2 linked regions of the Neodiprion lecontei genome follow. The protein of the gene in region 2 purifies or fractionates together with the protein of the main gene of each other region. This does not show direct contact. Links are inferred from orthologs where the notes say so. Each region holds a gene or a part of one and is shown on either strand. Other genes may lie near its edges. The genes, in order: protein lin-52 homolog and transcriptional activator Myb.

What was found.
Region 1: the proteins of transcriptional activator Myb (region 2) and protein lin-52 homolog purify together in Drosophila melanogaster (affinity purification with western blotting; 3 studies listed by BioGRID, with this or other methods). This does not show direct contact. The link is inferred for Neodiprion lecontei from reciprocal best matches to the Drosophila melanogaster genes Myb and lin-52.

The regions. Positions count from the first base shown.
Region 1 is NC_060265.1:25,299,468-25,302,749, forward strand, and holds protein lin-52 homolog, read right to left. Parts: upstream 1,558-3,282; 5' UTR 1,288-1,557; coding exon 1,257-1,287; intron 1,185-1,256; coding exon 1,107-1,184; intron 1,033-1,106; coding exon 922-1,032; intron 826-921; coding exon 692-825; 3' UTR 621-691; downstream 1-620. Other genes in the region: X-ray repair cross-complementing protein 5, read left to right, coding at 1-18, 226-240; signal recognition particle receptor subunit alpha homolog, read left to right, coding at 1,734-1,850, 2,190-2,559, 2,783-2,824, 3,042-3,183.
Region 2 is NC_060264.1:1,903,987-1,909,119, reverse strand, and holds the start of transcriptional activator Myb, read right to left. Parts: upstream 3,198-5,133; 5' UTR 2,782-3,197; coding exon of another isoform or gene 2,762-2,781; intron 1-2,761. Other genes in the region: checkpoint protein HUS1, read left to right, coding at 3,476-3,527, 3,625-4,031, 4,128-4,511; nuclear pore glycoprotein p62, read right to left, coding at 4,980-5,133. UniProt on the Drosophila melanogaster protein: DNA-binding protein that specifically recognizes the sequence 5'-YAAC[GT]G-3'. Component of the DREAM complex, a multiprotein complex that can both act as a transcription activator or repressor depending on the context.

The sequences.
Region 1 (3,282 bases), on a different chromosome or scaffold from region 2:
GTAGACTTAGAGGAACTGGTAAGTAAACTAATGTCTTCTACATTCTGCTAAGCTGCCACATAATGCTGAAGTGGTCCTAGATACTGTTCATTGATGTCCAGTGCATGAGGGAATCTTGAAGCATTAGGTAGTTTTGATAAAAAAAAAGAAAGAAATTCAATCATGTTAATTTGTTTATAAAATAGCTAGTCACATATTATTAGAATTCTTCCCATTCGCTTCTAGGCTAAAAGCATGTAGAACATGATACAATGCTCGACTGGCTCAAGGTCTTAATCAACAATCTTCCATTACTTCGCTATCCAAAGGTACTTACTTGATAACTCGTATAAATATGTAAGGATGAAATATTTTTAAATAAAATTTTGTGATATTTACATTTGCCATTGCTTTTCTCAAGGTTACATTCCGCATAGCTATCCCACTATTCCTTCAATCTTACAGGTAATCTCACCAACAAGTTGAACAAATTTTTTTAGAGCCAACTATCTAAGCAACTATACCGATAAAAACTTGAAGGTTTCTAGGCGGTATAATATTATAACATCTCTGATCAATTACATCATTGGATGTTGGTCAAAAAAAAAAATTTCTCATGGATATTGAGCGATAGAGAAGAATTTCTATAAAGATTTCATTCAAAAAAATATTTACATACATACATAAGTACACTTATTCTAATTTTATGAAACTATTTATGTTTAAATATGTTTAAATATTTTCCACGAGTCATTTCTTTGGCCTCTTCCAATCCCAGTTGGTACGCAGTATCGTGAAGTTTTTTAACTTCTGTAATAAGACCAGTCATTGAAAGGTTACCGAGCTCTGAAATAAAATGAGTAAACTGTTGAGTCTATAAGGGTCTTAAATCTAGAACAGAATATGGGATTCAAGGCAAAGAAGTCAGTTTGAGACACTTACGATGGAGTTTATTTATATCATCAGCTGCAAGAGTCGCTGCCCACGAAGGTGGTTCTGTTTGAGGGGAATTTTGAGCGACGTATTCGTTCACACCTGGAACTTCATCATTCGCTGATATAAACTAACTTTTATAAATAAAAAATTACGGAAATTTAAGACCTTGGGTAATCTAATGGTGAACTCACTTTGTTCAGGCCAGAGGTCCGGCGATGCTCGATCCAATTTTTCCAAGCTCATGAGACTCTCGTCAACCGCAAGCAGCTCTGAAAAATATAACAACAGGTATTCGCTTCTTGTTTACCATTCTTTGTTGAAATTTTAAATTACATCCTAACCTGATTCGTTCGCGGGTCCCTCGGACGCCATTTTGTTTATTACTTCATTTCCCGCTCTCTGCGGCTGGTTCAATCGGTTCAATCATATTTCAAACGGAGCAATATGGCGGTAGGTATGAGTATGCATGTGTATTCGTATGAATCGGTCACAGTGTTGTATGGGTTGTATGCATCACTGAACTATAATACAACGAATAGACCAGCGTCATACCGAAGATTCGCCGCTCTTGAGAACGATGCGCACCTGGTAGCGGACATTTGCGTTAAAAAAAATGTCCGCCGAGTTGTGATCATATACGTAATACTCCTACTAGTGTCTGTTCTGTTTCTCCATCGTGATTTCATGTTCATCAACTTCCGCCGTTCCATTAATCCAATCTGACGTGTAGAGACGTGTACCAAAAGTCAAACGCAGTTCACGTTTGTTAGGTTAAGTTCGTTTCTTAAAATTGATATTTACAGCAACGTGTTTTCAAAATGCTCGATCTCTTTACAATATTCAGCAAAGGCGGTATAGTACTTTGGTGTTTTCAAAGTACTACACAAATATTTACACCAAGTGTCAACGCATTGATTCGCAGTGTTATTTTACAGGCAAGTATTCAAAACAACATTATTACAATTACCAAGTGTTGACTTAATTTCCATTCATCGAAATCAACTGGTAGTCCGCGATGTTATATTGTGCTTGTCATGCTCGACAAGGTATTGAATCGTTGCAACCACTGGTTGGAATATCTTACCTTCGACAACTGTTCAGCCTGAACATATGGCAATGGATTTGCACTCGTGTGAATTTTGGTTACATTTAACTCTACAAAAATCATATTGTTGAAGAAGCATCTGCTGTATGAGAAAAGGATCAGCTTAGTTGATTTGACCTTTCAGTAACGGAATAAGTTATCGCAAAATAAATTGGCATATTATTTACAGGAGCGAACAGGTAGCCATACGTTTGATCATGACTCGTTGCGACTTCAATACAAGCTGGACAATGAATTTGAGCTTATATTTGTGGTGGCATATCAAAAGATACTCCAGTTATCCTATGTGGATAAGTTTCTTTCCGACGTTCATCTTGAGTTCAGAGATCGATACAAAAATGAGCTAGCAAAATCACAGTGGTTCTATAATTTTAACTTTAAGAATAGTTATGATGCCATACTAGCAGCTGCTGAGCAATGGGGAAAACACCAGGCTAAACTTCCAAAGCAGATGCGTACATTCGATGAAAGTATTAAATCAAAGAAAACTGTCGCTAGTATGATTGAAAGAAAGGACGACAAAGACAACAAAAAACAAGGTAAAGTGTTTAGCTATTTCAACTAAAAATCAAGATTTAACTATTCCATCTGGGTATTCATCCTGGTTTGCAAACTTTTGCAAGTATTTCTTACTTAGTAGACTTGTATATAAGAGTAAGAAACTTGTATCATTAGTTGGATATAGTTTTGATGCTTTGGGTTGATTACATTATCATTTACGTCCCTTCTTATCATAACGCTTCACTAACTTGGTATTTTTAGGAAAGAAGAAGAAGGGGATTTTTTCCAATGATGATAGTCATTGTAAGTGGTAACTGCTATCATTGTTGTGTGAATCTAGTTACTAAAATCGTATTCCTTTTTCACATTAATCAATTATTCTCACTGTAACCTTAATTCCTAAACATATTTCATCTGCTGGTGATTTTGAATGCAAGGATGTGGCGAGATTCCACAAGGTTTCTAAATTTGTGGAAAATCGTATAATGTTAATTCAAATTTTACATACGAAATTTTTCAGTGAAAATTCAAGAACCTGTCAAACCAGATGTACCAAAACAATCTCCAGTTACAAATGGAGAGTTGGACGAAGAAACTCTCTTAGCTAATAGACTCAAACTTGTACAAAAAATAGCTGGGCCAAAGAAGAAAGCAGATAAACAGTAAGAAGTTTTCCAAAATTTTGCGGTTTGCTGTAGTATAATGATGATGAAATTAACAAGCAACAGCTTCCATTAAAAATATATTCCGGGCGAGACAAA
Region 2 (5,133 bases):
AAAATTCCTGATACAACATTACTTCAGCCAATCGTAATACGTAATTCCGACTATAATTTTTATTTTTATTTATTTTTCTTCATTTTTTTTTTGCAGACAGGAACCTGAAGCAACAGCGATTCGATTCGAAACCTCGTCGAGTTCGCCTCTCGACATTGTTTATAATTCGTACAAACGAAGACACGAGCCGTGCATGAGAAAAACGTTCAACTACCACGGACTCGACTTCCAATTTTTTTATATTATCTACATCTGACTCTCCGCTCTTCGTATGGGGCGCAAGGAGAGTAAAGGATGGGGAATGGGAATGGGAATGGAGGGAAAAGAGGAGACGGGGGGGAGGAGGGAAGGGGGGGCCGGCGACCAGACGACGACGTAACATTTGAACCCTCCTCGGTTTCGTTCGAGGTTTCATTCGTTCCTCGTTCCCGACGATCGTCCTTCCCTACTCACTTACCACCGACTGACTGACTGTCTGACTGACTGACTGACTGATTGTCCTCAACGTTAGTTGCTATGCGGGACGACGCGATTGCGTCACACCGAAACCCCCTCTCTCCCTAATCGCTCTCTCTCTCTCCCTCTCTTTCTTCTCGCTCGCTATTATCAACGACGGAGAATTTATTTTTATTCTTGATAAATAGAATCACGCGAAAGATGTATCATCGTGAGAGGGAAGCAGCTTGCTGCCGTCTTAAAGCCACTTTTCTAATGATCTAGTCGTCATTGTGGATAAAAGACGTGTGAGAGCTTTCTTGTGTTATGAAATGAATAAGGTTGCTGGGTCAAGTAACATTATTGTAAAAACAGTCTTGTTACCGAGTTTAAACTGTAAGCACGCGTTTTGCTATTAAAGCATCTGTTTCAAAACACTCTCAATTTCGCTACCTGATAATTCTTTTAATAAACTCGCGAACCCAATTATCTGAACCTATGCATACCCTAGATAAAGTAAAATACAGTTGAAATAAAAGAAAAGAAAAAAGACGTTGCTCGATTTAACGATTGATGAAACTTGGAAATTAATTCATTCTATTCTGTTTATATTTTGAGTGCAATGATAATAATCCCGATGACAATGTAATGTTCTTCGTATTGTTACATATCGTATTCTTCCCAAAGGTTTCAATTCGTTGATTTGACTCCGTCGTTGGTGCAGTTTTTATTTTTTCATTCGATTCTTTTCAATGGAAAGCTGACACCGAACGAACCCTTTACTCGCTTCCTGCAAGATATACTCGATTTCCTGTGTATGTATATATATATTTATATGCATGTACCTCCCACGGCTGCTGCTGGCCCATTTCATCTCGCGTTTACGCGTGTGGTGATGTTGCCATGCTGCGCCGAGAGCAAATAATCACATGTATGGTGGACGTGTGCACACGCATATGGAAAAACAAGCGCTCTTTGTTTAAACATCGGTATAGGTACGCATATGCGATACGTTTAATAATGTATACGTATGTAGGTACACATATCCCACAGAGTTGAAACGTTCTTATTACGAATACAGAGTCGTTCTTTCATTGCGATTCGAACGTCCTGAGAACAAGGATAATTAGGATAACCTGGTCTGCTCTGTCGGAGATGGAAAAATACCATAATCCCTTCCTTCTACCGACTTTCCCAAAAGTTTTCACCTTTTTCAAAAATCTACTGAAAACCCTGAGAAATTTCATACGCTATTACACGAATATCTAGATCCTTTTTCTTTCGATCGACACACCTCGGAATGCGCGGGAAAATTTAAACGCGCTCTCGTGATTCGTAGCTTTTTACAGTTGCGCCTGACGACGAAGGCATCGAGATATAGAGTCGCTGTGCGTGGGGTATTATGGCATTGATAAAACAAGGGGGGGAAAGATAAACGGCGATAAAACAAGTAACGTGAAAAAATGAAACAGGAAGGCCCGGTGCGACTGCCGCGGGCCACGTGTTCCGGCAGACACCTGTCGTCGTTCTTTCTAGGTGAGCGATAAACGGCGAAGTATGCAGTCGAAAAAAACAAAAGACGGAAGAGAAGGAGGAGGAACGAAGGAACATTGAACCACATGTCTTACAAAGACGGAGGGGTGAATTTTTCACCGAGTTTTGGGAAGCAGGGGGTATTGATCGAACGAAGACGTTGTTTCGGATAAAATAAAACGAAAACATGAAAGAAGGCTGAGAATTTTTTTTTAAAAAACATGCTAAATCACACGCGACATTCGAATGTTGTATTACGAACATTGTAACCGTTGTTTCAAATGTGCCTAAAACAACGATCGGATCGTTACTAAAATGCATAATGTTGCAAGGTACATTGTAAGCGCAGCAGCTTAGATTTTGTTTACGCAAATATATATGTATATGTGCAAAGCTGCGGTGTAAGGATCCGTAGGGGAGTTGAATAAGTAACAAATCGCAAAGGATTTAAATTATGGAATGACGAATTACGCGGTCTTTGAGCACAGCTGATTACGCTGGCAAGGCAGACAACGCGTGTTGTTTACATGCGAAAGTAAAGTGACTAGCGTCACGAGATGTAATAGAACTGTCAACAATTGAGAATCGCCGCAGAGAGATTTTCGCGTTCGAAATAGATGAAGAAAAAAAAAAAAAAATGAAGAAGAAGAAAAAATGTAAGACGAAGAAGCGTGTTAGCACCTTGCGAATGTTTAGTAAACACCGAGAGACGATCATTGAATTGGGTAGCGAATAAATTTATGTATGTATGTACGATAAGTTGGAATAATGTATTTCTAGTCTTCTGACTCACCTAGCTCGATAAAACTGCATTTCAATCCGAGCAGGACATGTTCTTCGATCTTTTGCAATTCTCTCGGTAAGGGATTACTTGAGAGAATATGAAGTGTAAGCGATCTCTCTCTCTCTCTCTCACTCTTTGGTTAGTTATTATAGCATTATCGATTAGCTTTGAGCGTGCAGAGATGATAACAATATCTGCAAAATGGCCGACGCATCTATTTCTCACCCTCTCTGCACGCTGTCCGGGTTAATTTGTCAAATTAGTCGAAATACAGTTTTAAGCGTTGCACACACTGACTGATCACTCTCACGGATTTCGCGAATCGAACACCCCGAGAATTGTTTAAAGCACACACCGCACGATCATAGATTTATTTTGTTTCCGGCGCGAGGCGGGTGTTCTGTTTGTTTACACAAAGGACGACCGGCGGCAGCCTCGGTCCCCGAAGAATTCGTTAGGCGATCACCACCGCTGCGCAGGGTAAGTTTTCGTTTGCAGAAAATTATGCTGGCAGCGCGGGAACCGACTGTTTCGGTGACACTGGTGACATCTAGAAACTTCTGAGCGAAGTACCGGTGTGGCGGAACGCCGGAACGGAACCAAACGAACGGCGCCAACGGACGTGCGATGTTGACTTGTTTGACAGGCCGCTGATTTGTCTGCGAGAGCCTCGCGGTAAACGTTCGGTTCACTGGGAATTCGTTCTGTTTATTACTCGTCGGGATGAAATTCAGATGCAGAATGATCGACTCCGCAGCGATGCGCGACTTCACTAGTAAGAGGAAAGATCGATGTTTCACTGGCCTAACCATAACCTGTTTATAATTTATGTGTACGAAAAATGTAACAACTTTGTATATTTCAATCGATAGATGTGGCAAACACGGTATCCCGCCTGGCAAAGGCTTGCGTGATACGTCTTACAAAAGACGAGGTGTGCTTTCACGTCGGTGACGACTATTCGCCGATAGCGTGGGCTGTTTTGTACCAAAACAAATTCTTCAGCGAATACACCATGGTAGGTGTGTGCGAGGAACAGGATGAGATATACCTCGAATTCTCACCTGCCATGCTCGCAAAGAGCCTAAGCTCCCTCAAAATGACCGCCAAGAGCGTCAAGATCAAACTTACCAACAGAGAACAGCCATGTCTCACTATCGATATTGAATTACCTTCGATAAGCAACGAGCTTAGACAGTGCGTTCATGATGTACCTGTTAAAGTAATTCCTCGAAAAGAATGGGGGGAATATCAGGCTCCAATTATACCGTCGTTCGATGTATGTTGAAGAGACCTAATACTGAATCATATCGTCTGGCAACTTAGCTCGCGATCAAGTTTACTCCTGCAAATGCATCTCTATTTTTTGTTACAGGTTTCCATAGAGATGCCAGACATGAAACACTTGCGAAATGTTGTCGATCAGATGGGAAAAATGAGTCCACAACTTGTCGTAACTGCTAAGAAAACAGGGAAATTAATACTGAAGGTGGAAACCAGTTTTGCTACCGTAGCGACGCACTTTCAAGACTTGAAGGTTGGAGGAGACGATCGAGACTCAGGAGTAACGGATGAAGAAGAGGAAGAAGTTTCGGCCACCATAGATATTAGGAAATTTGGAATGTTTCTAACATGGGATATAATAAAAGCCGAAAGCGTAATTTGCAACGTAGTGGCTGACAGAATGATTAACATGCATATGAACATTGATGGACATTTAGAAATACACTATTTCATACCAGCCATTTCAATTCTGTAGAAATCAATTAGAATAATAAATTATAACTTTTTTTATATTAAAAAATTACGTATTTGTGCAACACCGGAAATTAATCGATTCAGATTCCTGATCGCCATATAATTCAAACAATTATCTCATTATGTATATGTAGACCAAGACAGTCCTCCAACGATGGACTTGCAGTAATAATGAATATCAATCTTTCTGAGATTGGTTGGAGTGCATTTTTTACTCTTTGAAAACAAAACAAAATTCATACAATATTTGGAAGTACAGCAGATATTCGGTCATGTCAATATTCCACTCGAATTGTATTCTTAATGCAGATTAAAAAATTGAATTGTGTAGTTGAATTAGAGTACCCACCGAATAAGATGTTCAACTGGCATATCTGAATTCGCTGAAAGATGAAATCGTTGACGGTCAAGTTTGCAATTCATCCAAGGTCCTATGAAAGTAGTCACTTGTTCAATGGCGACAGAGGTGTTAATTATAAGCCAAATTGAAGCTTCGCTCATGTTCCTGTCTAAAGTTTTGATGCATTTGATCAATCTGCTGTATCTTTGTTTGCAAAACTGACGTACGTTGATCGAGCCATTGCAAACTGTTCATATGTGCATTCAGTATTTTACCAATCTGG